Diceros bicornis minor: one gene and its partner. The protein of the gene in region 1 purifies or fractionates together with the protein of each later gene. This does not show direct contact. Links are inferred from orthologs where the notes say so. Each region holds a gene or a part of one and is shown on either strand. Other genes may lie near its edges. The genes, in order: MCMBP and MCM3.

The links.
Region 2: the proteins of MCMBP (region 1) and MCM3 purify together in Homo sapiens (affinity purification with mass spectrometry; 10 studies listed by BioGRID and IntAct, counting the BioPlex papers as one, with this or other methods). This does not show direct contact. The link is inferred for Diceros bicornis minor from reciprocal best matches to the Homo sapiens genes MCMBP and MCM3.

What each region holds. Positions count from the first base shown.
Region 1 is NC_080745.1:82,615,520-82,630,935, reverse strand, and holds the start of MCMBP (mini-chromosome maintenance complex-binding protein), read left to right. Parts: upstream 1-8,828; 5' UTR 8,829-9,055; coding exon 9,056-9,113; intron 9,114-15,416. UniProt on the Homo sapiens protein: Associated component of the MCM complex that acts as a regulator of DNA replication.
Region 2 is NC_080753.1:14,594,761-14,610,916, reverse strand, and holds the start of MCM3 (DNA replication licensing factor MCM3), read right to left. Parts: upstream 7,521-16,156; 5' UTR 7,462-7,520; coding exon 7,384-7,461; intron 6,356-7,383; coding exon 6,243-6,355; intron 5,808-6,242; coding exon 5,599-5,807; intron 5,104-5,598; coding exon 4,973-5,103; intron 2,945-4,972; coding exon 2,706-2,944; intron 2,240-2,705; coding exon 2,131-2,239; intron 1,072-2,130; coding exon 918-1,071; intron 566-917; coding exon 434-565; intron 1-433. UniProt on the Homo sapiens protein: Acts as a component of the MCM2-7 complex (MCM complex) which is the replicative helicase essential for 'once per cell cycle' DNA replication initiation and elongation in eukaryotic cells.

The DNA of each region.
Region 1 (15,416 bases):
CATATTATTTGTTCAAATTAGAATGTTTTAGGGCCGGCCCCGTGGCTTAGCGGTTAAGTGCGCACACTCCGCTGCTGGCGGCCCGGGTTCAGATCCCAGGCGCGCACCGACACACCGCTTCTCCGGCCATGCTGAGGCCGCGTCCCACATACAGCAACTAGAAGGATGTGCAGCTATGACATACAACTATCTACTGGGCTTGGGGGGAAAAATAAATAAATAAAATCTTAAAAAAAAAAAAAAAAGAGTGTTTTAGATATGTTGGGTTAAATATATTATTAAAATTGATGTTACCTGTTTCCTTTTACTTCTATTAATGTGTTAAAAAGGAGACAACAGGCCCAAAATGGAGTCACTTGTGCTAAGCCCCACATCAGCAAACCAAGACTTAATACCTAACCTCATTGCAAGTTCAGCCTTTCCCAGGAATGTAACCTTTAACCAGTCAGCCTGGAATTACCCAGTCAGTACTTTGAGGAAATCCACCCAATAGGCCACTTCCATGCCCCTTAGGAGGGCCAGCTTACATTGCATTCTTTGCTAATAATTTCATTTTCTACCCACTTTTGGTCTTTAAAAACCTTTTCTTTCTTTCTTTCTTTCTCTCTCTTTTTTTTTTTTTGGTGAGGAAGATTAGCCCTGAGCTAACATCTGTTGCCAATCCTCCTCTTTTTGCTGAGGAAGATGGGCCCTGGGCTAACATCTGTGCCCATCTTCCTCTACTTTATATGTGGGACGCCTGCCACAGCATGGCTTGATAAGCAGTGCATAGGTCTGCGCCCGGGATGTGGACCTGCGAACCCTGGGCCGCCAAAGCGGAGCATGCACACTTAACCACTATGCCAGCAGGCCAGCCCCAAACCTTTCATTTTCTACAGCTCAGTGGAGCTCCTTTCTATTTGCTAGATGGGTTTCTGCCTGATTCATGAGTTGTTGCATAAAGCCAATTTGATCTTTAAATTTATTCAGTTGAATTTTGTTTTTTAACAGATTTGGTGGAAGCAACGAGATCCAAAGCAAACTTTTGCTGGCATTCAGGGACAACAAGAAACAAGTGTGGTACCTGAGGAACCCTTTGAGCATTGTCTTTCTTGCCATTTCCAAGGGCCATGGGTAAATTCCTCTCAGTTCTCAGCTCCATTTTCTTTGCACTGAGCTCCTGATCTACTTGGCTTTCCATTCCAGGGCTTTCTGGGTCAGCTTGAGCTGGCAGACTGTTCCATCCAGAAGCTGAATCCCCAGCCCTTGGTTCAGTCTGCAATTCCCCATTTGATTGGAAACCCCAGCCCTTGATTCTGTCCTAAGATCCACATGGGAACTCTTAGTGGCAGTTCACAGTTCCCCTTTGTGTGGAGGCCCCAGTCCACAGTCCCCATTTGTTGAGGTCTGCTGGTTCAATCCTTTCGCCAGTCCAAGGTTCCGTAGTAGGAATTGGTGGTGGTACACACAGGGCCTTCTTTTGGACAGCAACATAGTAATTGGTATGATGTTATCAGTCATAATTCCAGTTACTATCTTAAAATGTTGTGTGTCACAGCAATAACCAAACTCTCTTGTCAATTCTATTATAATGAACTCTCATTAGATCTTTAATAATAGGCACTTCTAAGTCTTTTGTCATTTACAGAGAGTTATTGTTTTATTCTGATGCTTTGCAAAAGTGTTCCTGCAAAAGTGCTTCATCTTCAAGGAGCTTTATGGAAAGAATTTTGACAAGTACAGGTTTCTGATAACTTTAAGATTATAAGACTGAACTGGGTAAGAATTTCCAGAAGTAATGAAAAAAAACTGGATTCAAAAAGAACAAGAATTAATAACATGAACTGAAGAGGATGATTATAATTTTTATGACTTGTTTAAAACATTGCTGGTTCTTTCTTTTTTTTTTATTGCAGTAACATTGGTTTATAACATTGTATAAATTTCAGGTGTACATCATTATACTTCTATTTCTGCATGGATTACATCATGTTCTCATAAACATTGCTGGTTCTTTAATGTTTTGTTTTTCCAGATTTAAGGAAACCTTTTCTCTGAAACTGTCTATGACTTGCCACAATTTGGAAAATATACCACTGTAAGCAAAAATGAAACATTTACTTTTTTTCCCTACCTGATCCCTCCAAAATTCAGAAACTCTTAAGTGTTCTTTTCTTTTGTGTGTGTGTGTATGTGTGTGTGTGTGAGGAAGATTAGCCCTGAGCTAACATCTGTTGCCAATCCTCCTCTTTTTGCTGAGTAAGATTGGCCCTGGGCTAACATCCATGCCCATCTTCCTCTACTTTAAATGGGATGCCACCACAGCATGGCTTGATAAGCGGTGCATAGGTCCATGCCCGGGATCCGAACCTGCAAACCCCGGGCCACCAAAGTGGAGCACACAAACTTAACCACTACTCCACTGGGCTGGCCCCTTCAGTATTCTTTTCATGACAATACAGTTAGTTATTGGCATAAGTTCTGCTTGTAACAGGACACTGTTGGAAACACTGGCTATATTACCAAGACTTTGACTGGATTGTCATATTTGAGGGAGATATGCATAGACTCAGATATGACCAGACAGTTTTAAGGAACTAAGGTTGACTTTACAGAGTGAATAAAGCCCCATGAAAAAATCAACCTAGTACCTTGCTTACAAAGTTCCAGCAAAGCAGTCTTAAAAGAGCTTCTATGGTCAATCACTATTTTTGCTGCTCTTATGTAAATGTAAATAATCAGGCCAAGTCTGATGCAAACAATTTAGTTTTACTGTGATTATCCTTGGAAAAAAAGAAATGGGGATAATTATAGAGAGAAAAACTATGTTTGCACCTTTGTCTATATTAGATTCTGATCTTGTTAACTGTATTCAAGGTTCTGTTAACTACCTGTAAACTGGGCTGGATCCTGAATTCTTCTAGTTTCCTCAAATATCTGACTACAACTCTCCAAACTAACCTTTCCAATTCCTCCTACACTTTTGATTTGGAATCACTAAGAACAAAGACTGCCCTTGAATCTCCTTGGAAGGGACTATACCAGGTCCTCCTCACTACCCAGATGGCAGCCAAGCTTCAGGGACTTGAACCTTAAAAGAAGGCTCCTCCTGACATGTGGTTCTATGCAAATGCTGGAGACCTCCAGATCAAATGGACGAGGAAGAGGACTAGCTGACGTGGAGGTAGACTGCTTCCCCCCCAAGACTCTGGATCAAGACTTCATTCTTTAAACATGAAACCCTCTCTTCTCTTTCTTTCCTTTACTCTGGCATCAGCCTGGAAATATAACACCATCACCCATATCTCCTAGGCCATTGCTAAGGGGGGTAACCTTTCAGATTACTGGATTTGTCATCAGAAACTGACCTGTCCATGATGCTGGAGACCCCCTGGTCCATTTCCCTGTCTCTGATTAATAACTCCAAACCTGAAGAACTTTGTGTCCAGGCTCTATGCAAAGAAAGGGACACAAGGCAAGGGTAACCAGAATAAAACTACCTGTGTTGTCTACAGACTCTTAAAATTTTACTGGCCTCGATGGCTGTCGCCTTTCCAGTCCTGAGCCACAGATTCAGACAGGAATTACCAGGAGGCATTCATGACTCAGGATTCATTTCCTTTGGCAGGGCCATATTTACCTGGTTAGGTGTAAATGTAAATGAGGCTATGATCAGGAACCTCTCCTTAACTCTTTAAAGTCCTGTGGAATCATCTGCTAAAACGATAGCTGCCCAACAGAAATCCTTAGACTCTCTGGCCATAGCCCTTGATTCTCTTTTAGCTGAGCAAGGAGGTGTCTGTGTTGTGGCCAATACCACCTGCTGCACCTGGATTAACACTTCTGGAGAAGTTGAAACTCAGTTACATAATATCACTGAGCAAGCCACTTGACTCAAAAAGGTGACTCTTTCAACAAGGTCTTTCTTTGACTTATTTGATTTTGATGATTTGGGTCTTGGGGACAACGGCTCCAAAGTGCACTCCATACATTGGGAATTATCCTGCTTGTAATAATCATAGTAATCTCCCTTGTGTGTTGTATTCTCTCAAAAGCTCTAAATGCATGTTCACAGTCACTAACCACCAAGCAAATGATCTCCCTAATATTGGAACGTCAGAAAAGGAACACTGACTTGAAGATTGTGAACCTGAAGTTGTTGCTGTTGTTTTTTTTTGTGAGGAAGATCAGCCCTGAGCTAACATCCATACCAATCCTCCTCTTTTTGCTGAGGAAGACCTGCCCTGAGCTAACATCTATTGCCTAAATCCTCCTCCTTTTTTTCCCCAAAGCCCCAGTAGATAGTTGTATGTCATAGTTGCACATCCTTCTAGTTGCTATATGTGGGATGCCGCCTCAGCATGGCCGGACAAGCAGTGCGTTGGTGTGTGCCCGAGATCCGAACCCGGGCCGCCAGTAGCAGAGCACATGCACTTGACCGCTATGCCAGGAGGCCGGCCCCATGAACCTGAAGTTCTGACCTGTGAATATCACAGAGATTAACCAAAAAACATCATGACTTGTAAATACCACACAAAGGATGAACAAACGCTGCAAGCACTACAGAGCAGAAGCTAAAATGTCTCCTTACATTTCGATCACATCTCTCAGTTAAGCTGAGAGTCTGATCAAAACAGAAAATTGTTAAAAAGGAGACAATAGGCCCAAAATGGAGTCACTTGTGCTAAGCCCCACATTGGCAAACCAAGACTTAATACCTAACCTAATTGCAGGTTCAGCCTCTCCCAGGAACGTAACCTTTAACCAGTCAACCTGGAGTTACCTGGTCAGCACTAGTGAGGAAATCCACCCAATAGGCCACTTCTGTTCTTCTTAGGAGGGTGAGCTTGCCTGAAACAATGAATTCTTTGCTAATAATTTCATTTTTCCACCCCTTTTCCACCTTTAACAACTTTTCCTTTTCTACAGCTCAGCAGAGCTCCTTTCTATTTGCCAGAAGGGATGCTGCCTGATTCATGAATCACCAAATAAAGCCAATTTGATCTTTAAATTTACCCTGTTGGATTTTTTGTTTAACAAATGTGACTACTAGGGCCGGCCCCGTGGCTTAGCAGTTAAGTGTGCGCGCTCCGCTGCTGGCGGCCTGGGTTCGGATCCCGGGCGCGCACCGACGCACCGCTTCTCCAGCCATGCTGAGGCCGCGTCCCACATACAGCAACTAGAAGGACATACAGCTATGACATACAACTATCTACTGGGGCTTTGGGGGAAAAAATAAATACAATTATTTTTTAAAAATGTGACTACTAAAAACTTTTAAATTACATATGTGGCTTGCACAATTTTTCTGAGATATCGAATATACAAACAATGGCCAGACCATCTTTGACAAGAGAACTCTGACCCACAACCTTTGCAGAACTGGCCCAGAAAGGTCAGGACTCGGTCAACAAGTCCAACTTCCCTGCTTGTTGGCCCCACTCACTCCTCAGAAAACAAGAATAGTTGAGAAATCCCTTCTCCCTTTTGTGTTCTAAGAAAGGGCTAACTATAAAGGACCACCTTGCTGTTGCATATTCCAACATAAGACCCACCTCTACCCTTCCTCAAGGACTCCCTTGTTTTATAAAACCTCAAATTTTAACCCTCTTCTTGGAGATGTTCGTGAATGAATAGTCTCCCTACTGCAACAACCTAAATAAAAGCCTCTCCTTCGTTGTCTGGGGCATTTTGCCTTTCACCTGTCACAACCCATTATCCAACCACTAAACTAGAGCCACATTACTTTTTGTTTGTTATGGTAACACTCCACTTCTGATACCAATTTCTGAATTATTTACAGTAAGGCTAGCAGGTGTAACAAAGAGACTTCAGAATGCAATGTTCATATGAAAATCCACACTGTCTTTAACACAAGGTCATTCTAGTCATCACCATCTCACCATCAGGAAGGAGGAAAGAGCATATCCAGGGCCAAATCTTTTCTCCTAAGAAATTGAAGGAAGTTCCAGACATCTCATTCATTCACAGTTCACTGATAAGAATCTAATCACAGAGCCCTACCTAGCTGCAAAGAAGGCTGAAAGATGTAGTGCCTAGCTAGGCAACCAGCTTCCGCTACACCTTTGTAGCTAGGAAATGCAGTTCTTCCCCGGGCAACTTATCTGTAGCTATGGAAGAAGGAGGGAACAGATTTTTTTGGTCTCAGTTAAAAGATGAAAGAGGAAAAGAGAATATTTAGGATAATGGTGGTAGGAGATGCTAGGAAGACAGTTTTACACAAGAAGTAGAGGGCAGCAAGTTCAGTTTGGAACAGGTCGAAAGGCTCTGGGAAAGATGTCCCAGAAAAATAAAGTATATAGAAGATTTGATGTGTCTAATTATCTAGAGAAGAGATCTAGGCAATTGATGGAAGTGTGCATTATCCATTCAACAACTGTTTATTGAGCACCTATGATATGCCAGACACTGTTCTAGGTGCCAGGGAACAAAACAGCATACAAATACCAAAATCACTGCTTCAAAGATCTTACAATCTAGTGGAAATTCTAGTGCAGTCAGGGTTGAATTAGTAATAAGTACATAGAAAACTAGCAAATGTTTAAAAGAAACATTTACCCCACCCTGGAGGCAACTACATTCAATCCTTTCAGCTGATTCTTTCAGTATTTCTATATTTTTAAATTAAAATTACATTGTCACTTCCAGTTTTTCCTTTTTGTCTCCTTTGCATTACATCCCACACAAAATATGAGGATTTTACTCTATTTTGATCTTCTTTGTCCTTATCACATATATGAAATCTTCTCATCCCCCAGCCTCCTAAGTTAAATTATAATGGTGGCTAGATCAACATTAAAATTTTAACATTATTATGACTTTGTGAACACTATTAATAGCTAAGTCATATAATAAATTGTGATTATTTTAATTTTTCTATACAAGTTTTGTTTTCCTAGGCTTGGAACACTTTTTCCTCACACTTTTCAGCTAGCTAACTCTTATTTATCTTTCAAGTCCTAGTGTAAATGTCACATCTTCAGGAAAGCTCAAAGCATCCTTCCCCCTTACCCACAACCCTCCCTCAGTAAAATAGATGGTGCTGTTCATTCCTCTCACAGAGCTTCACTTTTTCTTGCCTGGCACCTACCATGGTTGTAAATGAATAATTATTTAGTAATAAGTCTCCTACAGGACTGTACGTTCTATGAGGGCAGAGATGGTCTCTCCTTTTTTCATCCCAGTATCTCCAATGCCCTCAATAATTACTTGCAGACAGCGTTACTTAATGCCTTCCTGGGTGGGGGTGCAAGTGCAGTTACTGACAGTGGGAAAAAAAATCTTGCCATGGAGATGTACCCTCATGGACCCTCCCCTGGCCTCTTACATTTTCACAACTACTTAGTAGTAGTATCAACACATCTTGCCATAGGAAAATTAGAGGGTGAAATTATTCACATTATAATTACATTTCAGAATGATTACAGTGTCTCTTCAAGTAAAATCTGAGCAATTATTTGTTCAATAAATCACTAAATACTCTTCAGAGGGAGAGACCAAAAGCTGAAGTGTTCCTAGCCATTGCTAAATTGGTGTCCAGCTGCAATTGCATATAAAGCAAATCTGAAAGTATTATGATTTAAAAGCAGATATTTTCATGTCATAAATTTAATTTGCAAATTACTGGCCATGAAGCTAAAATATGGGATTTCTCCATTCAATACCAGGGAGTTGGCAACCCTCTCTGCTAAAGGAATGAATGAATGAGCAAAGTGGTGGTAATGCCCCGGATTTGCAACCCAGTTTTCTCAGCTCACCCAAACTCACAAAAGCCAGATGTATAATCCAGTATGCCAATTAATTAGTTCACAATGAGAAATATAAATTAAACCTTTTTGCCCTAAAGAGGGCTTGAGATCTGAGTTCCGTTCTTCTTGTTCTGGCTCCCCACTTTCTAGACTCCATTCAGATCATCCTCCTGTTAACAGGCCCTATTTTCAGCTGATGAGACTGGGGTTTTCCCTAGGCCTAGGGGAAACACGCAGTTTCATTACTGTACTTGCACATTTTCCAAATTTCCTCATTAAAAGGTCACCGCAGATTTGATCTTTTGTGTGTGCTGATGGCACCGTCTTCATTCTGAAGGTATCCTGATACACACGTTCTGCAGGAGCCTCGCCAAAGCTCCCTGGCTGGTTCAGGCTTCCAGGCAGACGCTGCTCTCGGTCTGTTTTCGCAGTTTTGAGCTGACCCCTCAATTAGGAACTAGTCCCTCTACCACAGTGCCTGAGATGACAGCAAAGGGAGCTCGGGGTCTTTCAAAGCCCCCTTATCTAAATGGGTAAGACTTTATCCAGCTGAGGGAAAGTCGCTAGATAGGGTTTCGGGCAGGGCGCCAGAGAAAAGAGTTGCCACCAGCCAAAATAAAAAGCACCAAGAGGTGGTGGGCGGTGACCAAACGCTGCTTCACCCACTAATTTTGCCCAGAGATGACTCGGAGTTCTCTTTGGCCTTGTGCCTTGGAGCTGCTGCGGCCTCCGACCTGTACAAGACCTCGCTACGAATTAATAAACCAGATTTTGGGAATTTCCCCCATCACGCTTGCACAGGGTGACAAACAGTAACACGCCGCCTTCGGCCCGCGACGCCCCGTTCCGCGCGCGACACCCTCTCCGAGGCCGCGCATGCCCTTCCTTTGCCCGACTCCAAGATGGCGGCCGGCCCGCCGCCGCGCCTCGGCCCCGCCCCGGCCTGGCCCGCCCCCGGCCGACGGCCCACCCTGCCTCCTCGCCCGCCCGCGGGGCCGCGCAGCGCGCTCCCGCCGCCCCTCCCCGCGCGAGCTCCACCCAGGTCGCAGGCAACGCGGTCGGCGGCGCCTATTTCCCGCCATTGTGCGAAGTGGAGGCTGGGGGCCCGCACGCGCCGCCTGCCCGGCGCCAGCAGCTCCTGGGCTGCAGCCGCCACAGCCGCCGTTCCCTGAGGCGCGGGGAGGCCGGGCGGCCGGCGCCCCGAGGCTCGCCCTGCGTGGGAGGGCGCGGGCGAAGAGCGGCCGAGCCCCCGAGGAGGCGCCGCGGCGCGGGACGCCGGGCCGCACCGGCCCCGGGCCGTCGGCGAGATGCCGTGTGGGGAGGATTGGCTCAGCCACCCGCTCGGGATCGTGCAGGGCTTCTTCGGTGAGTGGCGGCGCCGGGGGCGGGCCGGGCTGGCCGCCGAGTTTGCCGAGCCCGGGCCCGGCCCCACGCGGGGCTGCCTCGAGGGCTCGCGCGGCCGAGACGGTCAGCGGGCCTGCGCCGGCCGGCGCCGAGACGCCGGGTCTCCGGGCCCCCGGGCCCCCGGGCCCGGCCGCAGGTGCCTTCCACCTGCCCGATTCGGGGTTCGCGAGCCGAGGTTATGCGGCGGGGAGCCGGCTGCCGGCCGTGATTGACGGCCTCGCTCCCCTTGGCGTCCCCTCCCGGGGCCGAGCCCGCGGGCGGCAGTACTCGGAGAGCTCCTTGCCCCCTCGGGGGGCCCGCAGAGATGGGGTGAGGGAAAAGCACTTTGCCTGTGGGGAAGCCTGCAGGGTATTTCAAAACTTCCGGTGTGCCGGGGGAGTGCTCGCTCGCCGCAGAAGTTGCTTCTAACTACTGTATTACACACATCCTCCCTTTTCGAGATAAGATTTAGTGTAATCGCTTAGTTTTTCTGTTAGGATGACTTGAAAACCTGCCTAGTATACATCTCTTGGGCCAGAGCTAGCAAGAAATGTTGACCTGCTCAGATGAGTTTCTACCTACAAAGAGCTTAGAATGCTGCAGACGAGCTTAGTAAATTATAGTTGCAATTGTTATTAATGCTACTTTTCTGCTGAGAGTACACGGAGGAAAATTTAGGTTTGTTTGTGCTTAACTGGGCATTTTGACACCCCCTCCCCCAGGTCTTTTTGCACTTAGGTGTGGTGGAGGCAAACCCAGCCAGAAATCACTGTATTAGATCGTAGCACCTGACTTGTCTGGAGGTAACTTAGAGTTGTAGAGTGGCTTTAGCTCGTTTATAACGTCGTGGGATGTTAGAACGCCTAAGAAGAAGCTAGATAGTCCCCAGCAGCCAAAACTGATGGCGTAAAATGTATTTCTTGTAGGAGGGACTCACTCAGCAACTCTTTATTCGTTTTCCCTATAATTTGAACTAGTTTAGTTATCTGGTTTCCCAGGCTGAAACTAGAGGCAGCAAATTAGAAGAAGGCCTGAGTAGGCGTCCGGATTGTAGCCAGTGAACACTGACAACTTGATAAAGAAGAAGTGAAAACCTATGTACATATTTTTTTTTTTTAAAGGCAAAAAAAAATCATTATATATCCATTAAGGGTGCTTTGAGGAAGGGGCAGATATCCCTCCACTAAATCCTAGTAATTAATTTTTATAATGAATACTGAAACCCATAATTGAGGTCCAAAATTATGGCCCCAAAATGTGGAGTGAAGGTGAAATTGCACAGTTGGTTTACAAGGGTGCAGCTGCATAGATACTTTTTAGGAAAAATCCTTCAAAAGTAAAAAGTTTTTGGGCTTAAAAGGTGAAGTTTCAGTTACGATATTTAGAAAATTTATTTACGAGAACTACCCCATACCCTAGTCTTGCTGGACAAATGAGATGATTTTATATTTGATATGGATTTGAGTGTATTTGGGTCAGATTTTGTCTCCTGTGTGTGTGATCCTAAGGGCCACATCTCCTTATAGTACTGAAAGGGTATAATTTGGATATAAAATATTGGCTTTACACTATTTTGTAAATTTTGTGAATTGTTGAGGGGACCTGGCCCTTATTGATGTGTTTCCTCCTGGATTGTCTTAATCTCATATAGGTTGTGTTTTATAGAGGAGAAACTAATACTGTTTTACAGTCATGAATTTTTTGTAGAAGCTGTTCTGAAGCATAGTATATATTTTTACTATATTTTCTATCACTGTGAATATATTGAATATCTTTATAATAACAGCATTACAGGTATGTTCATGTGATAAGTCAGTCAGGTGTTAAACTTGTAGACTCTTTGGTTTAGTAGGAAATTCTTTTGAATCGATTTTTTTCTCCAGGTAGAAAAGTACTGCAAGTCTTTTGTGGTTTCTGAGGCCTTTCTGGGTTCTACCCCTGCCTTGCCCTCAGACCTCATCACTACGTTCTCCCTCTTATTGAACCCTCTTTCAGTTCTTTGATTTTGAACCTGGCTTCTAGGCCTTCTGCATAGGCTGTTAACTTTCCCAGGTCCCCCCCCCTTCTCCTCCAACTTCCACTTTCCTGGCTAAATCTGACTCTTCTTTGAGCACCTAAGTTATGTACCCCCTGCTCCACGTTACTACAGGATCCTGTATGTCCTGGAAATTGGATGTGTAAAGCATATTGTTGAAATCGCTTGGTGCTTGGGTTCCTTTGCTATATTTGACTCTGGGAATTCAGGGCCTGTATCTGCCTTATTCACTAGTACATCGTCATTGCTTAGAGTACGCCTCGTACATTGAAAATGCTCACTGAACGTTTGTTGAACAGAGGCAGTGGAAAGACGGATTATCGATCAGAAGTGGTGTAAATTGGGATGGTTACTGTGACCACAAATCTCAAACTTAAGACAGTCCTGGTGGACCTTATGTTGGTTCAGAGCATATGATCATACCAGGAATGAGTTAGCTTTCACATGCAAATCCTAATTCTTTCTTCTTGGTTTAAATAAGAAACTTTAAAGTTCTCATAGTGGCCAGTCATAACCATATGAATCATAATTCGTCTTTGTGAACAAAGCTGTATTTTAAATTTATATCTGCCATATTACAGTTGTTAATATGTAAATTTTTCCTGTAAGCCTTCATAAAATGCCTTTAATGTTTAGTTCCAGTTTCTGAAAGATTTTATATACAGGACATTGTCCAAAGGCTTGAAATATAGGAATACTTTATTGGGCTCTATTATGTTCATAGTGCTAATGGCCTAGGCCCCACAGTGATTGTTCATTTAGTGACCCATATCAAATTGCTTTTCTTAAACAAAAGCAGGAATCTTTAAAAGAAAAAAGTTTTGTATGCTTCTTTTTCTTTTAATCATTTTTTATTTAAAAAAAGGAAATTTTCTTTACTTGAATTAATAACTACTGTTAATTTCAGAGGAAGTAGGAATGCTTATCAACTCTGATTTCTTTCACTATTTTCTCTATAGGTTGTTGGTTGGGTCAAGATCATTATTTTTGGTTATATTCAGGGTCCTTTGGTTGTGTCTAACAGAACTAGAACTACACTAGCTCGTGAAAAAAAGCAGTGGTGTGTGGAGGAGGGCGGGGTGGGAGTATGTGATCACTAGCTTTTTAGAGTTTAAAGCAATAATAAAATTGACTAAAAGTCCATCTGCCTTTTTATTGTCTCCATGATTCTAAACAGACAATTCACTCCCTTTTGTCTGTACCCACCTTGGATCTCTCATACCACCCCACCACCCTTGGTAGGCCACTGGAAAAAAGAAATTGTTATAAGCCTATAGATCCCAAAGACGGGGAGGTTGCTTGGTATCCCAAGAGACTACTGAGTAGAATCAGGAACTGGAAAGCCAGCAGGAGTCCAAGCAACTCTTATCAGTTTTTCTTCCTTAGGCTATATTCATCTCTGCACACAAACTTATCTTTCTCTGCTCCACAGCTCCTGATTTCCCTTGTCAGGTCCATCCCACAGGAGCTAGCATCTTTATTTTAATACCAAATTCCGGGGTTACAGAATCTAATTGGCCCAGCATGGAGTCAGGGTTCCACTCATGGACCAGTCAGCTATGGCCAGGGCACAGAGTTATGTAGGACAGTCATAACTGTTGAGGCCCACTCGTCAATAGTGGGCGAACTTCTCAAGAGAAGAAGAATGGATTGGATGGCCATGGCAAAAGGCATAAATATGTATATATGAATTTCTAAATTATTAAATAATAACTTGCACATGGTTAAAAAATGATGCTATTAAATGAAGAGTAAAAGTATGCTCTTCTCCCACTGAGGTCACCATTTTTAACTGTTTCTGATTATCGGTTTTTTTATTGAGATATAACACATAACATAAAACTCACCATTTTAAAATGTGCAATTCGGTGGTTTTTATTATATTCACCACTGTCGTTTCCATCACCACAAAAAGAAACTCCATATCTGTTAGCAGTCGCTCCCAATTGCCCCCTCCCCCATCCTCTGACAATCACTAATTTACTTCTGTCTATGATTTCCCTATTCTGGACATTTCGTATAAATGGAATCATACAACATATGGCCTTTTGTATTTGGCTTCTTTAACTTAGCATAATATTTTCAAGGTTCATCCATATTGTAGCATGTGTCAATACTTGCATTCCTTTTTATGACCGAAAATAATATTCTCTTATATGGATATACCACATTTTGTTTATCCATTTATCCATTGGTGGACGCTTGGGTTGTTTCCACTTTTCGGCTATTGCGAATAGTGCCACAATAAACATTCATGTGCAAGTTTTTGTCTGAATATACGTTTTCAGTTCTCTTGGGAATATACCTAGGAGTGGGATTGCTAGGTCATATGCTAATTTTATGTTAGAACTATTTTCCAAAGTAGCTGCACCATTTTACATTTCTTAATTTTATTTATTTGTTTTTCCCCCAAAGCCCCAGCAGATAGTTGTATGTCATAGCTGCACATCCTTCTAGTTGCTGTATGTGGGACGCGGCCTCAGCATGGCTGGAGAAGCGATGCATCCGTGCGCACCCGGGATCGGAACCCGGGCCGCCAGCAGTTGAGCGCGCGCACTCAACCGCTAAGCCACGGGGCCGGCCCCATTTTACGTTTCTACTAGCAGTGTGTGAGGGTTCCAATTTCTCCACATCCTTTCCAACACTTGTTATGTTTCCTTGTTTTATTAGTTATATCCATCCTAGTGGTGGTAAAGTGGTATCTCATTGTGGTTTTGATTTGCATTTCCCTAACAACTGATGATAGCATCTTTTCATATACATTTTGGCCATTTGTATATCTTATTTGGAGAAATGTCTTTTCAAATCCTTTGCAAATTTTTGAATTGGGGTTTTGTCTTTCTATTGTTGAATTATAAGAACTTCTTTATGTATTCTGTATACTAGACCCTTATCAGATATATGATTTGAAAATATTTTCTCCCATTCTGTGGACTGTCTTTTCACTTTCTTGATAGTGTCTTTTGACACAAGTTTTTAATTTTGATGAGGTCCAGTTTATCTATTTTTCCTTTAGTTGCTTATGCTTTTGGTGCCATCTGTAAGAAACCGTTGTCTAAAGCAAGGTCACAAAGATTTACACCTATGATCTTTCTAAGAGTTTTATAGTTTTAGCTCTTTCATTTAGGTCTTTGATCCATTTTTAGTTAATTTTTGTGTATAGTATGAGGTAGGGTCCAAATTCATTCTTTTGCAATAGGATATCCAGTTGTCCCAGCACTATTTGGTTTTTGGGTTTTTTTACGTTTACCAGTTTATTTTAAAGGATATTATAAAGGAAACAGATGAACAGCCAGATGAAGAGGTACACAGGGCAAGGTCTGGAAGGGTCCCTCGTGGAGAAACTTCTGTCTCCATGGAACTTGAATGTGCTACATTCTCAGCATGTAGTTGGGTTCAGCAACCCAGAAGCTCCCCAGCACTATTTGTTGAAGAGATTGTTCTTTCCCCACTGAATGGTTTTGGCACCTTTGTCGAAAAAAAATCAATTGACCATAGACGTAGAGCTTTATTTCTGAACTCTCAATTCCATTCCGTTAATCTATATGTACATATAATCTATATGTACATGCCAGTACCATGTTGTCTTGATTACTGTAACTTTGTAGTAAGTTTTGGAATCGTGAAGTGTGAGTCCTCCAACTTCGTTTGTTCTTAAGATTGTTTTGGCTTTTCGGGGTCCCTTCTATTTCCGTATGAATTTAGGATCAGCCTTTCCATTTCTGCAAAAAAGGCAGTTGGCTTTTTGATAGGGATTGCATTGAATCTATAGTGCTTTTAGTTCTTTTGATAATAAAGAATGGTTAAGATTACAGACTTTAGAGCCAGACTGCTTCTTAACTCCAGGGCCATACCCAGGGTATTTGGCTCTCTAAGTGGATCATTTTTTAATACCTTCCTTCTTTATACTACAAAATTATTTTCAGTAATAATCATGAAATAAAGCTATATGTAATGCTGAAGGTATTACATATTTCAAAATAGATCTAAACATGGCTTCTATTACTTTCTTCCCTCCCCCCTTTTTAGAATTTTTTTTTGTTGTGTTCCACTGTGTTGATGTTTCATGTTAGTATGGGTACCACACTTCAGATTTGAATAATTTTGTATTAATTGTATAATTAATTAATTCTTTGTATTAAGAATAACTTCCCAAGTTCCTCCAGGACAAAAAAGCTCAACTATTACTCAGTAGTATTTATAGCTACCTAATAGTTTGAATTTTGGTCTTTAGGTTTTAGTTTAATAAT
Region 2 (16,156 bases), on another chromosome or scaffold:
CAGTGCCTCCTTGTCCCACTTTGACCCCTAAGCAGCGAGCCTCCAACAAACTTCCTTCATGTATTTTTCTCTCTTCATCCTCATCCTTAAATGATTTCCCAACTAGATCTCCATTCTCTTTTTGCTAGTCTTCAAATCCCTTCCTCAAATTCATAAAATAGTACAATCTTCATTTTTATTTCCCTTCCAATTTGCTAAGCTTTCTCCTTTGAAACTCTTTCAAAAAGCCTTCTAAGAGACATTCTTGTCAACAGAGCCCCACCAAAAGACTTAATAATTCACCTACTAATGCCAGATACTCAATCTTCTAAACTCAGGCCCAGTCTAACCTCTCGAGTATATCTTCCCAACACAAGCCAGTGCCTAGAGCAAGCTCAGAGAACTACACTCCGTCTCACTGCTGGACCTCTGCCAATGACCCATCCATCTTTACCTGTTTCCTGGTCTGTGGTGACAGCAGCCGTCAGACCCACTCCAGAGGAGCCCCGGCCAGTGGTGGGGATGGCCCGGGGTGCAGTGCAAAGCACATATCGCAGAAGCTGCGACTTGGCAACTGATGGGTCTCCTGTAATTGGACAGGGGCAGTGGTGACTCACTAGGAAACTCCCCCTGCCCTCCTACAAGTTCTGCTTTTCTAGCTCAGCTCTTGGCATAACAGAAATATACGGTAATTGGCTGTTAATATTATTTCCTCCACTTTCCTGTTACCATTCACGGAAGAATATATTTTAGATATTATAAATCAGGAAACCCAGAAATGATAAAAATGAAAAAAAACATTCATTTTAGCCTTTTGCCCTTTCATGGGACTGAAATACAGAGAGGTACAGAATACACCATCTCAAAGGCTATAGATGCCCACAACCACACTCCACGAGGGAAGACCAAGAGTCCAAAGCAAACCCCCAACACCATACCTATTAGAAGAATGTTGATGTCCCCACGGATGTGGCTGCCATTTTCTAAGTCTCGTTCCACCCCTCCCAGGAGCAGGCAGAGGATTGCCTTCTTGACATAGTCATGCCCATGGATACTAGGGGCCAACGACCTGGCCAGCTGGTCAAAGATATCCTACAGGAGGAATAACCAACAGAGTGAAAAGCCTAATGAGATTTAACGGGGCTTCGCTGAACTCCACTTGACACTTTAGCCTACAGAAAATGCTTGAAGAAACACACAAATATAGACCCTGTTTCTAATTGTAAAAGCTTCTCTCTAGGACAAAGCACATTGATCAAACCATGATCAGAACAGACACAGAGGAAGCCTAGGTTCCAAAACTGCTTAGCGGTTTAATCTTTAAGAAAAAAAGTGACCCCTGATCAAAACTGAAATCTGTTTATCCTTATACTTTACATAGACATCAATCAATAAATTATCTAAATTTTTAAGCCAAAAAAAAAAGTGTTTCCAGGTTCAATAAGGTTTCAGGTTTAACAAGAATGTGTAGGGGCCGGCCCAGTGGCGCAGCAGTTAAGTGCACGTGCTCTGCTTTGGTGGCCAGGGGTTTGCAGGTTCAGATCCCAGGCGTGCACCGATGCACCACTTGTTAAGCCATGCTGTGGCGGCGTCCCATATAAAGTAGACGAAAATGGGCACGGATGTTAGCCCAGGGCCAATCTTCCTCAGCAACAAGAGGAGGATTGGCATCGGATGCTAGCTCAGGGCTAGTCCTCCTCACAAAAAAAAAAAAAGAATGTGAATCTACTTTAGCAGTAACTTTTATCAAACATACATATATTTTGTTAAGCTCTAAATGTGGACATTCTGTCTTTAAAGAGAAAAAAAGAAAAACTAGAGAACTAAAACAAAACTAGCATACTATTTGAAGCAGCAATGCATCACTGATGTGCTCAGTACAGACTCACTGCTACAATGATATTCTAACTCCTAGTCTAATGTTTGTATCAGGTTCACTTAGCAGCCCAGCAGGTAGCACAACAGAAATACTAAAGAACAAACAGCAAAGACACCCTTTTACTTGCTGACTGGGTCCAAACTAGAAGCTAGCACCAAATATTTCAGAGGAAAAACCTTGACCTTCCTCCTGATCCAGTACAAAGACGGCCAGGCCCAAACACAACCCATACGAATCCATCCCCACCGGCAAGTCCCTAAAGGAGGCCAGACCTTGGAACGGGTTTTACTGAACTTCTTGATCTTGGCTATATCCTCCGCAGAGAACGAAGGCTGCATGTCCTTGCTCATCTGCTTCACATTACAGGCAATCAGGACCGTCCTGGGACAAAGAGGAGAAGAGGAAGCTGACTATTTTCAACTCCTAACACCAGAGCCTTTTTAGGCTGTTAATCCAAACAGCAAATTGGGAAAAAAGAAAGGCACTTCTGAATTCAACAACTGACTCTCCCTTAGGCTAGGACACAAATACGCTGATGACGCCTCATCTGAGGAAATTATCTCCACTGAGCCCCAGAGCTTCAGACAGACGTGTGTGTGGGAAGGAGGCAGTAATCTGTGAGAAACTCTCGGGTGAGCCATGAGGCTATAACCACGTCACAGTAACTCCCACTTTTAGCATAAGATAGTATTGCCAGTTTTATCTGACAGAAAAGAAGTATCCCATCTCCCAGGTAGAGTGTTCCACTTGTCTAACAGAACTCTCCAGAATACGGCAAACTGGAGAAGGAATACTACCAGAAATGCAAGCTGTCAGCATTCCAAATGCCTCACGACTGACCCTTTACCTGAAGGTCCCTGAGGTGTAGCCTCCCTTCTTTCCAGGAAGGCAACGGTAGGTCCCCACCACCTGGACTCGGTCACCAGGCTTCACTTTGTCCACCAAGTCATCATCCAGAATGACGTCCACAGAGCGGGGAAGCTGGCCGGCTGGGGCCTTCTCTGGCATCTCCTGGATGGTGATGGTCTGGTGGTCCTTGTAGACAGAAAGGCCATATTCTGTCTCAAGGGGATTGTTTTCCTCATCCTGGAAAAGGCACATGGAAGCAGTTATCTCAGCTCTGTCTTAGAAATGTCACATTCACTTGTAGGAAACAAATATCACTTGCAGACGACCTCATGAGATTTTAGTATCCAGGAACAAAAATAAGACCAATATCTTCTCAGCTTTTCCCATCCCTATCTGTTCTAGAAACAAACCATCTAATGGAAGGGTCAATCTACAGTCTGAAGGGTCCATGGCTGTATTAACATCTAAATTAAGATTCTCACCTCCCCTACTAAAGCTGATTATATGCTTACACTATGATGCAGTATTTCCACTCCTAGGTAATACCCAACAGAAACGTTCACCCAAAGCCACGTACTACAATGTTCACAGCAGCACTACTCCTAACAGCCAAAAATTAGAAAATATCCAAATGCCATCAACAGAATGGTCAAGGAATGTGGTATGTTCACACCAATGAATCCTATACAGCAATGAAAATGTATGAAATACACCTACACACAACATGGATGAATCTCACAAACAGAAGCCAACACAAGAGTATTTAGATAAAATACTAAAAATAGGCAAAAGTAATCTACACTGTTAGATATCAGGAAAGGGTTATCCTTGGGCAGTGTGGGCCCTCAAGAGAGACTTCTGAGTATGGATGGGACTCTGTTCCCTGGTTTGGATGCTGACTTTACAAGTATATTCAGCTCATGAAATTTCATCGAGCTGTACACTTAGACGAGCTTTCCTGTACGTATATCAAACTTCAGTAGAGACATTTTTAAACTTTTACTTCCTTGCCATTTGAATTTTCTAAAAACACAATAGCTATCACTTATTAAGTGCTTATCATGTGCAAGGTACTATGCTGTTATTTCATGAAATTGTCTCATGTAATCATCATAACAACTCAGTAAAGCAGGTATTTTTCACATTTTATAGATAAAGAAACTGAGGCTGGGAGAGGTTAAATAAATTCCCCCAGGCCACACAGTAAGTGGCAGAGCCAGGACTTGAGGCCAGTGGAACTCCACAGCCCCTGCTCTTAAGCACCACATGGGCAACCTCCAGGAGACCTGGCCCCATGTATCTCAGGGCTCAGACAAGGACACTTGGCCACAGTAATCAGCAGACGAGTACTCCCTGAGTACTTCCTGGAGAAGAAATGCTAGAAAGTAGGATTCTTAATGAAGAGAGCAGGGTGACTTAGAAAACGCAACTGGCCTGAAGTAGAAATACACGGGTCCTAGTCCTTAGGGCCATCACTAACTGGGACCACAAGCAAGTCATTTAACCTCTCCGGACCTCAGCATTCCGTGCAGAGGCAGACTAAATGATTCTAAAGTAAGTTTCAGTTACAGTTCTAAGATACTCACTCTTGTTTTAGCTGTTTATGTTAAGATTCCTCCACCAGTTGATAAAACGTAAGACAAAGACTGGATCTTCTTTATATCTGTGTCCTCCACAGTACCTAACAATTCTCTGGCTACAGGAGCTCTCAATTAAAATTTGATGGTGGGGACAGATATTCTTTGACAGAATGAGTTCAGACATCAAGTAATCAATATTAATCATCTTCTTTCGTCTCATTAAGTAAAGCCTCACATTGTCCTCAATTCGGATCAATCTGAACACTGAGAATAAAGCCATTTCCTATATACCAAACTTTTCTCAAACCCACAGTAAAATATTTGCAAAGATTACATAGTAACATTATAGGATAATTCTTTTTTCATATTACTTTAAGTAAATTATAAAATTATACATATAACTTTGTTAAAATATTGATGTACATTAGATGACTTTTTTCCTTCTTTCGACTCTTCCATAATTTTCCAAATTTTCTAACATTAATATTTATTCTTGTCTAAAAAATTAAGAATTGTGGACTTTCCATACTAAACTCTGACTAGCAATCTTTCCTTTAGATTTATCCTTACTTTTCACCCTATCTACTTTCAGAATAAAGACTTCAGATATTACCCAATTACTTGCAATAAACATTCTTCTTTGACTCCAACCTCCAAAAAGGCCCAATCAATCCAACCCCCTCACCTTAGTAGGATAGACAGAGCTGGAGGGAAAAGCCACCAGGGTGGTGAGATCAGAATAACGTCGCTCTATGGTCTTCTTGGTGGCAGGACAGTAGTGGACACTGCGGACAACTTTGGGACGAACTAGAGAGCCTAGGGATGGAAAATGTGCATATGAAGTCATCCAACTAGACGGTTACAGAGGTGGGATCTGGCCCAGGCAAGCCTACAATGACTCCAAATACTGTATTCTTCCGTCTAGTTTAAGCTATTTCAATAATACTTGTCATTTATTCATTTTTATATTTACATATAGAACATTACCAGGTCCATGTAAAACTTTAAGTACAACCGATCCCAACTGAGAAACAGCAGGAGTTCAGGGTTAGAATGAGAAGACTGCCAAAAGCCAAGACTCCTCCACTCTCAGTAGAACTCATCATTCTGTTAGCACAGGCAGTCACTCAAGTCCCCCTAATCATTGTGGCCACTCAGAGCTCCTCCGAGTTTCACTCTGTAATTTCAACGCTCCTCCTTTCTGAAGCTGTGTAGCATAAGCTACACAGCTCTACTCCACCTCTCCTGCTTTCCCACACCCCCAACTCTATCCCACCTCCATTCCCTTAGACCCCACTTTAACCCACTCACACTTAGTGACAATGCCCTCCACACAGACTACACAGCTCAGGAAGCAGGAGGTAAGAGTCCGGGGAGATACGTGCTTGGAGCCAAAGCTGCCCTCCAATCCAATGTAGAACTCCTCATACTGCTTGGCATAGGTAGCATCAATGGAGGCCACAAAATCCTTTAAGGCCCGCTGGAAAGCAACCAGCTCCTCAAAGGCATTGCTCAGGAGGCTAAACATGAGCAAGAGAAAGAATAATTAGGCGGAGATGGCAGAGCTCAAAAAAACTGACCCTCAAAACAGAAGTGAACATTCTTAGGTGATCAAGGCCAAGGAGTGAAAAATGTAGCTCCTACTTTCTCCTGCCATCCTACAAGACTCAGTAAAACAGACCAGAACCAAGGGCCAACTTGAATTCAACTCATCAAAGATTTAGAAATGATACTCAGCTAAACACGGAAGAAGGAGCTCTTGAGAGGAAAATGCCCACCACCTACTTTTGGAAGAAGATAAAAACATAGGAACAGGTGAGGAAAAGAGGGCTCCTAAGCCAAAAACATTTCATCCAGGTCCTTTCCTGGGAAGCCTGTTCCACTCTGGGGGGAGAGAGAAGGGAGCCATTCTCACCCAGAGCCAGGACATCCCCTTGGAAACCTTTGCCACTCACCGGTTAGCCCTCTTCTCATTTTTCCTGCGCAGGTCATTCACGTTGACAATCAACCGGGCTTGGTTGTCACTAATCAGCTCCCGAACTTTGCTCTGATAAATTCCCTGGTCTTCCTGCAAAATAGCCACCACATATAACAGCAGCCACACATTCAAAAATAAGATGTTTTTAAACAGAGGCAACTCTCGCAGCAAGATAAATAAGTCAATCTCCGCGGCAGAGCAGAACCCCAATTTCTCCCATATTTTCACTCACTAGCTTCAGATTCCAAACACACCCTAAGAGGACAGCGTAGGAATTATAATGACTTCCTTAAAGTCCATGCTATTATTCCTTTTATCATTATCGGCTTTTCTGTATGTAGTCATTTCTCAACCTTTAATGGGCAATTAAAACGAACTAATAAGAAGGACAGTAAGTAAGAAGCTTGTTAAAATGTTAATAAACGGGCTTTTAATATTCACATTAAAATGACTTTTAAGACATGTACAGAATTAAAATATTTTATTTTCCAATCATGTATATAATACAGAAAGAGTTCTCATATCCAGACCTAAAGGAGTTGGGAGCCTCAGCTATTTGTTTACAGACACAGCATTATCAACTCTTCAAGATGCTTTACCAACATTCTATGGCTTTCAAACTGGGTTGTGCACAAAACCCCCTTTACCTGCATACCAGACACTTTCTGCATCTCACCTGGTACTGAAAAAGAACGCGGCCAAATTAGGAAGTCAGTCACTAAAACCTGGGGACCCTGAAACGCGGCGGGTCACCACCGCTCTACAGCCCTACCTCCCCCTCCCTCCCTCCAAATTATGAGAGCAGGGAGCGACTTCTAAAAGGTCAAAGGGAGCTTTGCCATTTTATTTTTGCGAGCCCCGGCCATCATCTGTACTTGGGAGAAAGTCACAGGACCGCTCTCTAAGAGTTCCCCTACGGAAAACCGCTAACGACTGACTCCTCCGCTGGAACAGTGACCAGCTCGGGGTGGAGGGCTCCTGAGCCGAGTCCCGGCGGTCCTCCCGCTCCCGGCCCTGCGGCTCTGGCGTGGAGCGGCGTCCTGCGTGGCCTCCCTCGGCCCGTCCGCGTCCCCAAGGGCCCCAAGCGCCAGAGTCTCGCGACCCGGCGCCTCGCTCACCTCGTCATCCAAGAAGTCCAAGTAATCTCGCTGCGCCTCCCGCAGCTCCACATCGTCCAGCACCACGGTCCCCGCCATGCTTGCCGCCTCGGAACTGCCTCCTCCAGAGCCGCGCGGAGGGTCCCTGGATGACCCCGCCCCGGCGCGAAAACTTCCGAGCTTTTCCCGCCACCAGGGGTTACCTCGAGGAAGGGGCGGGGGCTCTGGAAGCGTATAAACATTCTGATTGGCTGACTCCTCTGACGCCAGAATAGTGAGTATCCAATCGAGAGCTGCTGCTGCTTCGCGTTTTCCGATCTGCGCCCCGCTGTGGCGGGAAATGTGCCATCCGGGGCCTTCTGTTTCTCCCCTCCCCGCTCCGCCCTCACTGACGGGAGAGCTGACCAATGGGGCCGAAGGGAGGCTCGCGGAGCCTGATCATTGGGCGGCCCAAGGCGCCGGATGCATTCTGGGAGTCGTAGTCTTGATATTCTGTCCCCTGACCTGCCGCAGAGTGAATGAACTCAGCGCGGCGGTTGTACTGAGAACAGGCTGAAAGTCAGAGAATGGGGGTTCATAATGCAGGGAGATGAAAACATAAAAGCAATTTTATTTTAAAATATATTCAGATCTGGCGTGCTAGATATGTTTCTCAAGCAACTATCCTCAACTGGCCTCCAGGGGAAAAAAAGTGAATTTTGACAATCCGTGGAATGGAAAATAGAATCCTAGCTTCTTTGGGAAGGGTTGTTTAGTTCAGCGACCCATTTGCTCTCTGAATACTGTTGCCTGAAGTACCCCATAAAAATATCAGACCGCGGAGGAGGGTGAAGTGAAAAAAATTTTCGGCATGTACCCCGCCCCCTAGAGATGGCCTCATGTGTTGAACAAACTTTGCACAAAATTACTGCACCATCTTACTTGCAGATGGGTAAGTTAAAGGCTTTCTCGCCTTGTAGGAAGATCACAGGACCTTTTTTAAAAACTTAGTTTATTGAAAGACAAACACAAGGAGAAACAAAAAAAGTGTTTCAAGCCACTCCAGTATCAATCAGTAATTAAGATATAGCAAATCTGAAATTATAAATAATTAAGAGATAAATTGCATGTCCAAGTGTTTTTTTGCTTGCTTTTAGTCTTTTGTGGTTTGTTTAGATTTTTTAGTTTCATTTTTGAGGTATAATTTATATACAGTAAAATGCACAAATCTTAAGGGTGCAGCTCAATGAATTTTTATTATGTATACATCCATGTAACCACCCGGTGCACAATAAAGAACAGTCTCACTGCCCCAGCGTGTGTTTTTGATTTTACTGAATGGGAAGCTAAAATACCAGATTGCCTAATACTAGACACCTGGTAATTCTACAGCAGAAATTGCGGCCAACTAATTATTAGTTTATGTTCAAAGGTCTCTAGGACTCACTGTGCCCTGATAAATATTCTCAGTATAATCTACCTAAACAAAACATATATGCCATCTATTTGTACGTGTATATATATTTTTAGTTATTATACAGTTTATAGTTGCTATATGTTTGGTGTCATCCTAGTGGGCAGATAAATCAATCCTTAGTCCAAGAAAAAAGGCCAGTCATCTTGTTTTTGTTTATATTAACAGGCAAAAAGAAAAAGAAAAAGAGATTCTAGGATGAGGATCCTGTTTGCAATTATACAGTAAGAGAAAATTACTTTTAACTCTAGTGTACCTTTATCACTTGATGGTAACTATCATTTTATGAATGTATTGAAAGCAACATTGACAATATTCTCTGCTCTGGAAACAACTTGAAATTAACACTAAAATAACCAGGAAGCTTAGTTCAAATAAGCAAAAAAAAATCAAGTCATTTGCAGTGAAAAGTCCAAAGGAGTGGGAGTATGAAAACCCAATCTGTGACGCTAACACACTTTTCTCTGGGCTTCAGTTTCCTCATATAAAAGATAAGGAAATTAGAAAACCTCTAATAGCTATCCCACTGTAACATTCGTGAGCCTATCGCGAATTTGTAAACTATGTAAAGACAATTCCATTTAGAATTAATTATGCCATGTTCCTCAATAAGGACTTGATTTGCTTTAATGTCATTGTCTTCGGCCATGAAGATCATGCGGATATTTAATTAGTGTTTCCCCTTCTTTCATTAGGGCATGAGATCTTTGAGCAGAGGAAGGATGTTTCCTTTGTTATCTCCTGCTCCTCCAACTGCAGAGAGAATCATCAATCAGATGCTGCTATAATCAAGTTAAGGGCATTTGTACATATCTCCTACAGAGTCCAGCCAAGCTTAGCCAATGGCTCTCCTCTGATTCTTACTCAAAATGAAGAAGCACAGGTAACCTGGTGAAGTTCCATTTTTGCTCACATTCTTGCTTTCCCTCTGTATCCATTTTCTCTCCACCCTAGGCCTCCATGGACCTAAGCCAATCTCCAAGGCTAAATAAACACTAGGGGGCTCCCTGGAGAGCAGAAATATGCAGGAAGACAGTGGAAAACAAAGACTGCAAAAGTGTACATAATGCTTCCACTTTTCCGTGTCCTCAGGGACCAAACAGTACCCAAAGGCTCAGTTCAACTAAAAAATATTTAGTAAATACTATTTATGCTTACTAAATGATATATATATCCTTGTTCAAACCGATGAACAATATTATATGTTGCAAAACTTTTCAAACAATACCCTGTGATTAATCACTAGCTTTAGGCACTCAGGAAGGTGCCATAATCCCTTATAGTCCTTTGACACTCCCTCAAAGGCCGCAAAAGCTTCAATGTAAAAAACTCTACACCTCTAGGTGCCAGCACAGCTTAAGGAATAACCTGCAGGCCCAGGCTTGCCCTGGCCAAGCAGATCTGTTCTCTTCTGTGATATGGACAAGTCAGAATCTTCTCCTGATGCTGCAGTCCAGGGTCATGAGCACCACGACAAGCAGACTTCCTTTCTCTTTCTGGCTGCTCTATTTACTAGTTGTGTGACTGAGCGACTTACTTAACCACCCTATACCTCAGTTTTCTCTCCTTTAAAATTAGGACAGAACTAGTATCTAGTTCAAAGAATGGTTTGAGTATTCAGTGAGGTAATAACAGATGTAAGATATTGAGAAAAGTGCCTGGCATGTAGTAAGAACATTCACAGTAAGTGAATGTTCCAGTGGTGGTGGTATTAGTGGTTGGTGAGGGGTCAAGAGATGCTGGGGAGAATGGGGAGGAAGCACCCTGGTGTATTCTGGAACAATTAGACAAGCAAATTCAAGCCCCCTTTCCACTCCCACCAAAAGCTTACAATAGAACCAATCCAGATACTTCTTTGAGTGAGACCTTGTTTGCTGCAAATCCAATTGGCTAAAGGAGTATCACATTCACAGACAGGATATTGGTTGCCTTCGATTCGGCCAGTGTTGAAAGCCATCAGAGGCATTTGCTCCATGCTTAAGGACCATTATGGAAGACCAAATGGTCCCTGGAGTTAGCCGGTGTGCCTTGTAAAGACAGGAGAGTCCCATAGCCTCTGCCCCTCCAACTTTTGCTTCCTGGAATTCTTTGGGTTAGATATGCTACAAAGAGGAGGAAAATCCAGAAGCCAGGGAGCATGCATGATCCTGATTTGCCCATTAAATTTGACATCACAGTTGGGCCTGCCAACAATTTGTGATTCATTGTCATTTGCCAAGGTTAATTTGAGCAATTGGGTTTCTTCATCTTTGAAAAGTCATCCCCATTCTTAGTTGCACAAATTTCACGCAGCTGTTTGAAGAGCTTTGCTTCCATACTTAGAACCACAGATTTGCAGGAGGAAATTACAAAAACTTACTGAGTAAATATGAATATGGCATATGAAATTCTCTAATAATAACTCCACTCTGTAAATATGTCTAGATTTAAGTGTGCATTTTAAAAAATATAGTCCCTCAATGCTTTAAATTGTGCCAATGTAATGAAATGATGAAGACATTTAGCCATTCCAATCAAATATGAGTTGAGCATCTGTATACCTAAGTCTGTCCCTGGCGAGAGACTCTAGATCAGTGCTGCCCAATAGAATTATAATGCAAGACACATATATAATTTTAAATTTTCTAGTACCTACATTTTAAAAAGAAAAACGTGAAATTAATTTAATATTTTATTTAACCCGATTTATCGAAAATATTTCAACATGTAATCAATATTTTAAAAAGTATTGAGATATTTTACCTTCCTTTGTAGTAAGTCTTAAAAATCTAGAATGTTTTTTATACTAAGCCACATCTTGATTCAGACTAGCCACATTTCAAGTGCTCAATCACCATGTGGCTAGTGGCCACCATATTAGACAGTACAGCTTTAAAGTATAAAAATCTGTCTCTTGGGGCCAGCCTGGTGGCGTAGTGGTTAAGTTAGTGTGCTCCACTTCAGCAGCCCGGGGTTCACAGGTTCGAATCCTGGGTGCAAACAGACGCACTGCTCATCAAGCCATGCTGTGGTGGCATCCCATATACAAAATAGAGGAAGAGGGACACAGATGTTAGCTCAGAGCCAATATTCCTCAGCAAAAAGAGGAAGATTGGCAACAGATGTTAGCTCAAGGCCAATCTTCCCCACCAAAAAAAAAATCTCTCTCTTGAAATAGCTTTGATTTAACTTGAAATAATAGCAACCATTTATTGAACACGTACTATATGCCAAACATGATGCTGAGCACTTTACCATATAATCTCATTTAATCTTTATAATACCTTGTGATGTGGTTATTTTTAATCCTCATTTTGCAGGTAAGGAGTCTAAATCTTAAAAGATCCCAGAATCCCATACCAGTAAGGGACAGAGGCAGCATCTGAACCCAGGCCTATATGGCTATATTGAATAGCATTTAAGAACAAATGAGTATGTTAATATCCAAATGCAGAATCTGACCCATAAGACTCAGTGGAAGTTACTTAAATATTAAGTGAACAGATATTTTATATTTTAGAATAATTGACTTAAAAAGACAGTGTATTGTATTTTTACCTTAGTGCATTGTAGTTTTTCTTAGTCATTTTACTGTTTAAAGTATGGAGACCTTTCTCTGGGCATCATGAATGCCTTCTGCTAGTTTACAGATGGGCTAGCATCTGTATGTGCCTGGTAACATTTGTTTATTCATTCATTTAATCAATTATGCATGAGCTGTGTATGAGACAGTAAATTAGATATTTATAATCAGTTTTTATTTGATCCTTCAAGTAAAGTGTACATCATCATTTTGAAGTTTCAAAATATTTAAAATGCCTGTATTTATTCAGCCAGGAGGGCTTTGAGATGCTGATATTTACTCACACTACAAATAATACTGCTTGTGTTTTCTTATATTATATGCAAGGTATTTAGGGGGATACAAAGATCAAAAGTTTACAATCTAGTACAGAAAATAAGGTACAAACACGAATAACCATGAGAAAATGCAGCGTGTTCTAGGCATGGTACAAAGTGCCATGTGCATTAAAAACAGCAGATATAAATTTGTACAGGAGTGATGAGGGAAAGCTAAAGAAAGGAAGTAGTATTCGATTTAAGGATCAAAAGGTGGGCCATATTTCCTCTAGGGGAGATGTGGCAGCAGTGACATTCTAAGCCAAACGTAAAGGCAGCGATGACCAAGCCTTGGGAGAAACTAAGGTGGCTGGAATGAAGGGTCAGCGGGAGAGGGGGTGCAGGGTGGAACCGGAAGCGACCGGTGCATCGGGCCTGACTGTAGAGGACGCTGACCAGGAAGTAAGAAGACCGTGCTGGATTTCGTAGGCAAAAGGGAGCCATTGATGGCTTTTGAGCAAAGGAGAGACAGTATCAAAGTTGTGCTTTAGGAAGATTAATCTGGCCAGAGGCTGTGTGGAATGGATTCTTTAAATCAGATAAAAAGAAATGAGGCCTGGAAAGGGGATTCAAAGAAGGGACAGAAAGAAAAGGATGGCAGTGAGACATTTTAGGGAAAACAGACAGACCTAAAAGCTATTTGGATGGAAGTAGGAATGAGGGAAAGAGCAGGATAAAAATTGCATATATGTAGAATAAATACATGTGCCTCACGCACATGTGAGTGCCCCAAGGGCTTACAAAATGCATGTAGATGTTAATGATCTCTATTTGGATTTGGATCTAAATTTAGAATGAACAATTGTTTTGCAGTTAAGATACAGAGGAAAAAATTTAAGAGATAACCAAGTCTCTCAAAACACTGTAGTCAGGAGAGGAATACAACTTTGACATTTAGTTCCAAAACTTTGTCTAGGACAGTATGAAAAAGGAAAGAAATTTTTTTGTTGTTGAATTTTAAAACAAAGTATATATAAACTATACCCCAATAAAGCAAAGTGTATATAAATTTTGCCTCAATCAAGTCTATACTAAGAATCTAAGCAAAGAAAATAAATCATAAAAGCACCATGACTGCATCTGGTCAGCTGGCATGGCAAGGGGGGGAGGAGGGAAGAGCCAGTGTTCTTTGAAGTAAACTGAATATTAGTTTTAATTGGCTCCATGCCACTTGACTAAGAAGCTACAGTTCCTGTCCGCAGTGTTCACAATCAGTTGGATAGACGAGAAGCCAGGGTTTGGGAAGACTGAATCTCATTGCATCCTGTACTCACTGAACATCTGACAACATAGGAGCAGAATTTGAAAGATGTTTATGAGGCACTTGGGACACAAGCTGCAGAAATGGTCGTATTGACCACTCCCTTGCCCTTTACGGAAATATACATAAATCACCTCCTCTATTCCCCACCCCACCTCATACCCGCAGTTCACTTCCAGCACCTTCCTACATTCTTCTAGCTCAGTGGTGGGAATCTTGAGACAAAAAGAAATATAGGCTTTCATTATCCTTCTTCCAGCCCTCCAATATTCTGTTGGTTTTAGAGAGCACAGAAAACCGTTAACACTCTAATTTTAAGTGCTACAACGATCAGAACAAAAATCTCTGAGAAGCTGAGCAGTTTAGTGTTTACCTCATCTCCCCAGCCTTTCACTGGATTCTTTGATGCGTCTCCAAAAAATATCTCTAATTTGAAACCAAAGCCAGATGGATATTTTTCCTGGCCTGTGTTCATCGTTAGCCACCTGCTTCTCTCTGCTAATACAGGAAGGGGATATGAGAAAACGGAAGGTGTTGGCTCAGAGCTCTGGAGGTCTGGGGAAGGTGCCTTGTAAAATAATCATTCTTTATTCACTGCCATGCTCCAATGCCACCTTCATTAATTGGAAATGCAAAGTATGCCAACAATGTTTATAAAAAAATAAGTGAATATCAGAGTGCATACTAGAATTTCAGAGCTGGAAGTCACCTTAGAGGCCATTTAGTCTGAAGCCCCATTTCATAATCTAAACAACTGAAGACCAGAGAAATTGAATTAGATCTTAAAACCCATATATTTAAAATAAATTAAAGGGTTTTTAAAAAAAAAAAGGTAAAGAAATATTCAAGACACAACTAGACTCTGAAAGAAAGGTGGATGTGAGCAAATGAAACTTTTAGAATTGAAAAGTACAGTTATTGAAAGAATAAATTAATGGATGAGTTAAAAGCAAATTAATGGACAGGTTAAAAGCAAAACAGACACATCTGAAAAAAGAACTAGTAAACTAGAAGATGGAGCTGAGGAGATTGCCATAATGCAGCAGAGTGGAGAAAATGAAGAATACAAAGAGAAGTTAGGAGAAATGAATGGTAGAATGAAAAGGTTCAAATATATCTACTGGGAATTCCAGATGGAGAAAAATAAAGGACATAAAAGACATAGTAGCTGAGAATTTTCCAGAATTGATCAAAGACAAGAATCCTCAGGTTAAAGAATCACAGTGAATCCTAAGCAAGGAATATAAAATTAAACCTTCACTTAGACACACAGTAATGAAACTCAAAGCACCAGGAATATGGGAAAAATATTAAAAGCAATCCAAAAGAAAAGAGGAACAAAATTTTAGACTGACAGCACATTTCTCAACTGCAACAACAAAGGCCAGAAAACTATGAATAATATTTTCAAAGGCCCAAAGGAAATAACTGACAAGCTAGAACTCTATACCTTGCTAAACTATTAAAGAGTTAGGGCAACAGAAAGATTTTCAGAATAACACTCCAGACCTTTGTTGAATGGGCTCTGTAATTGTCTGCTCGGGCTGCCATAACAAAATACCACAGGCTGGGGGGCTTAAACAACAGAAATTTATTTCTCCTGGTTCTGGAGCCTGGAAGTCCCAGATCAAGGTGTTGGCAATGTTCAGTTTCTGGAGAGAGCTCTCTTCCTGGCTTGCAGATGTCCACCTTCTTGCTGAGTCCTCACATGGCCTTTCCTTTGAGCACGTGCACAGAGAGAGAGAGAGAGAGAGAGAGACAGCGATCTCTCTTCCTCTTCTAATGAGGCCACCAGTGCTATTGGATTAGGGCCTCACTTTAGGGTCTCATTTAACCTTAATTACCTCCTACAGACACCTTCTCCAAATACAATCACTTTTGGGGGTTAGGGCTTCAACATGAATTTTGGGGGGACACAATTCAGTCCATAGCAGACTCCTAAAGGATACATTTCAGGAAGAAGGACATTGAATACATAAGTAAGGAAAAAACAACAGTGAGCAAAGAAATTGGTAAACACGAAGGTAAATCTAGAGAAGTGTTGACTCTAAATATCAATACTAACAATAATGACGAATTTGGAGGAGGATAAAAACTAGATGGAAACAACTAGCGTTATTCAATAGTACTTTTGACAATGATGGAAATGGTCTCTATCTGCTCTGTCCAATATGGTAGCCATTAGCCACATGTGGCTATTA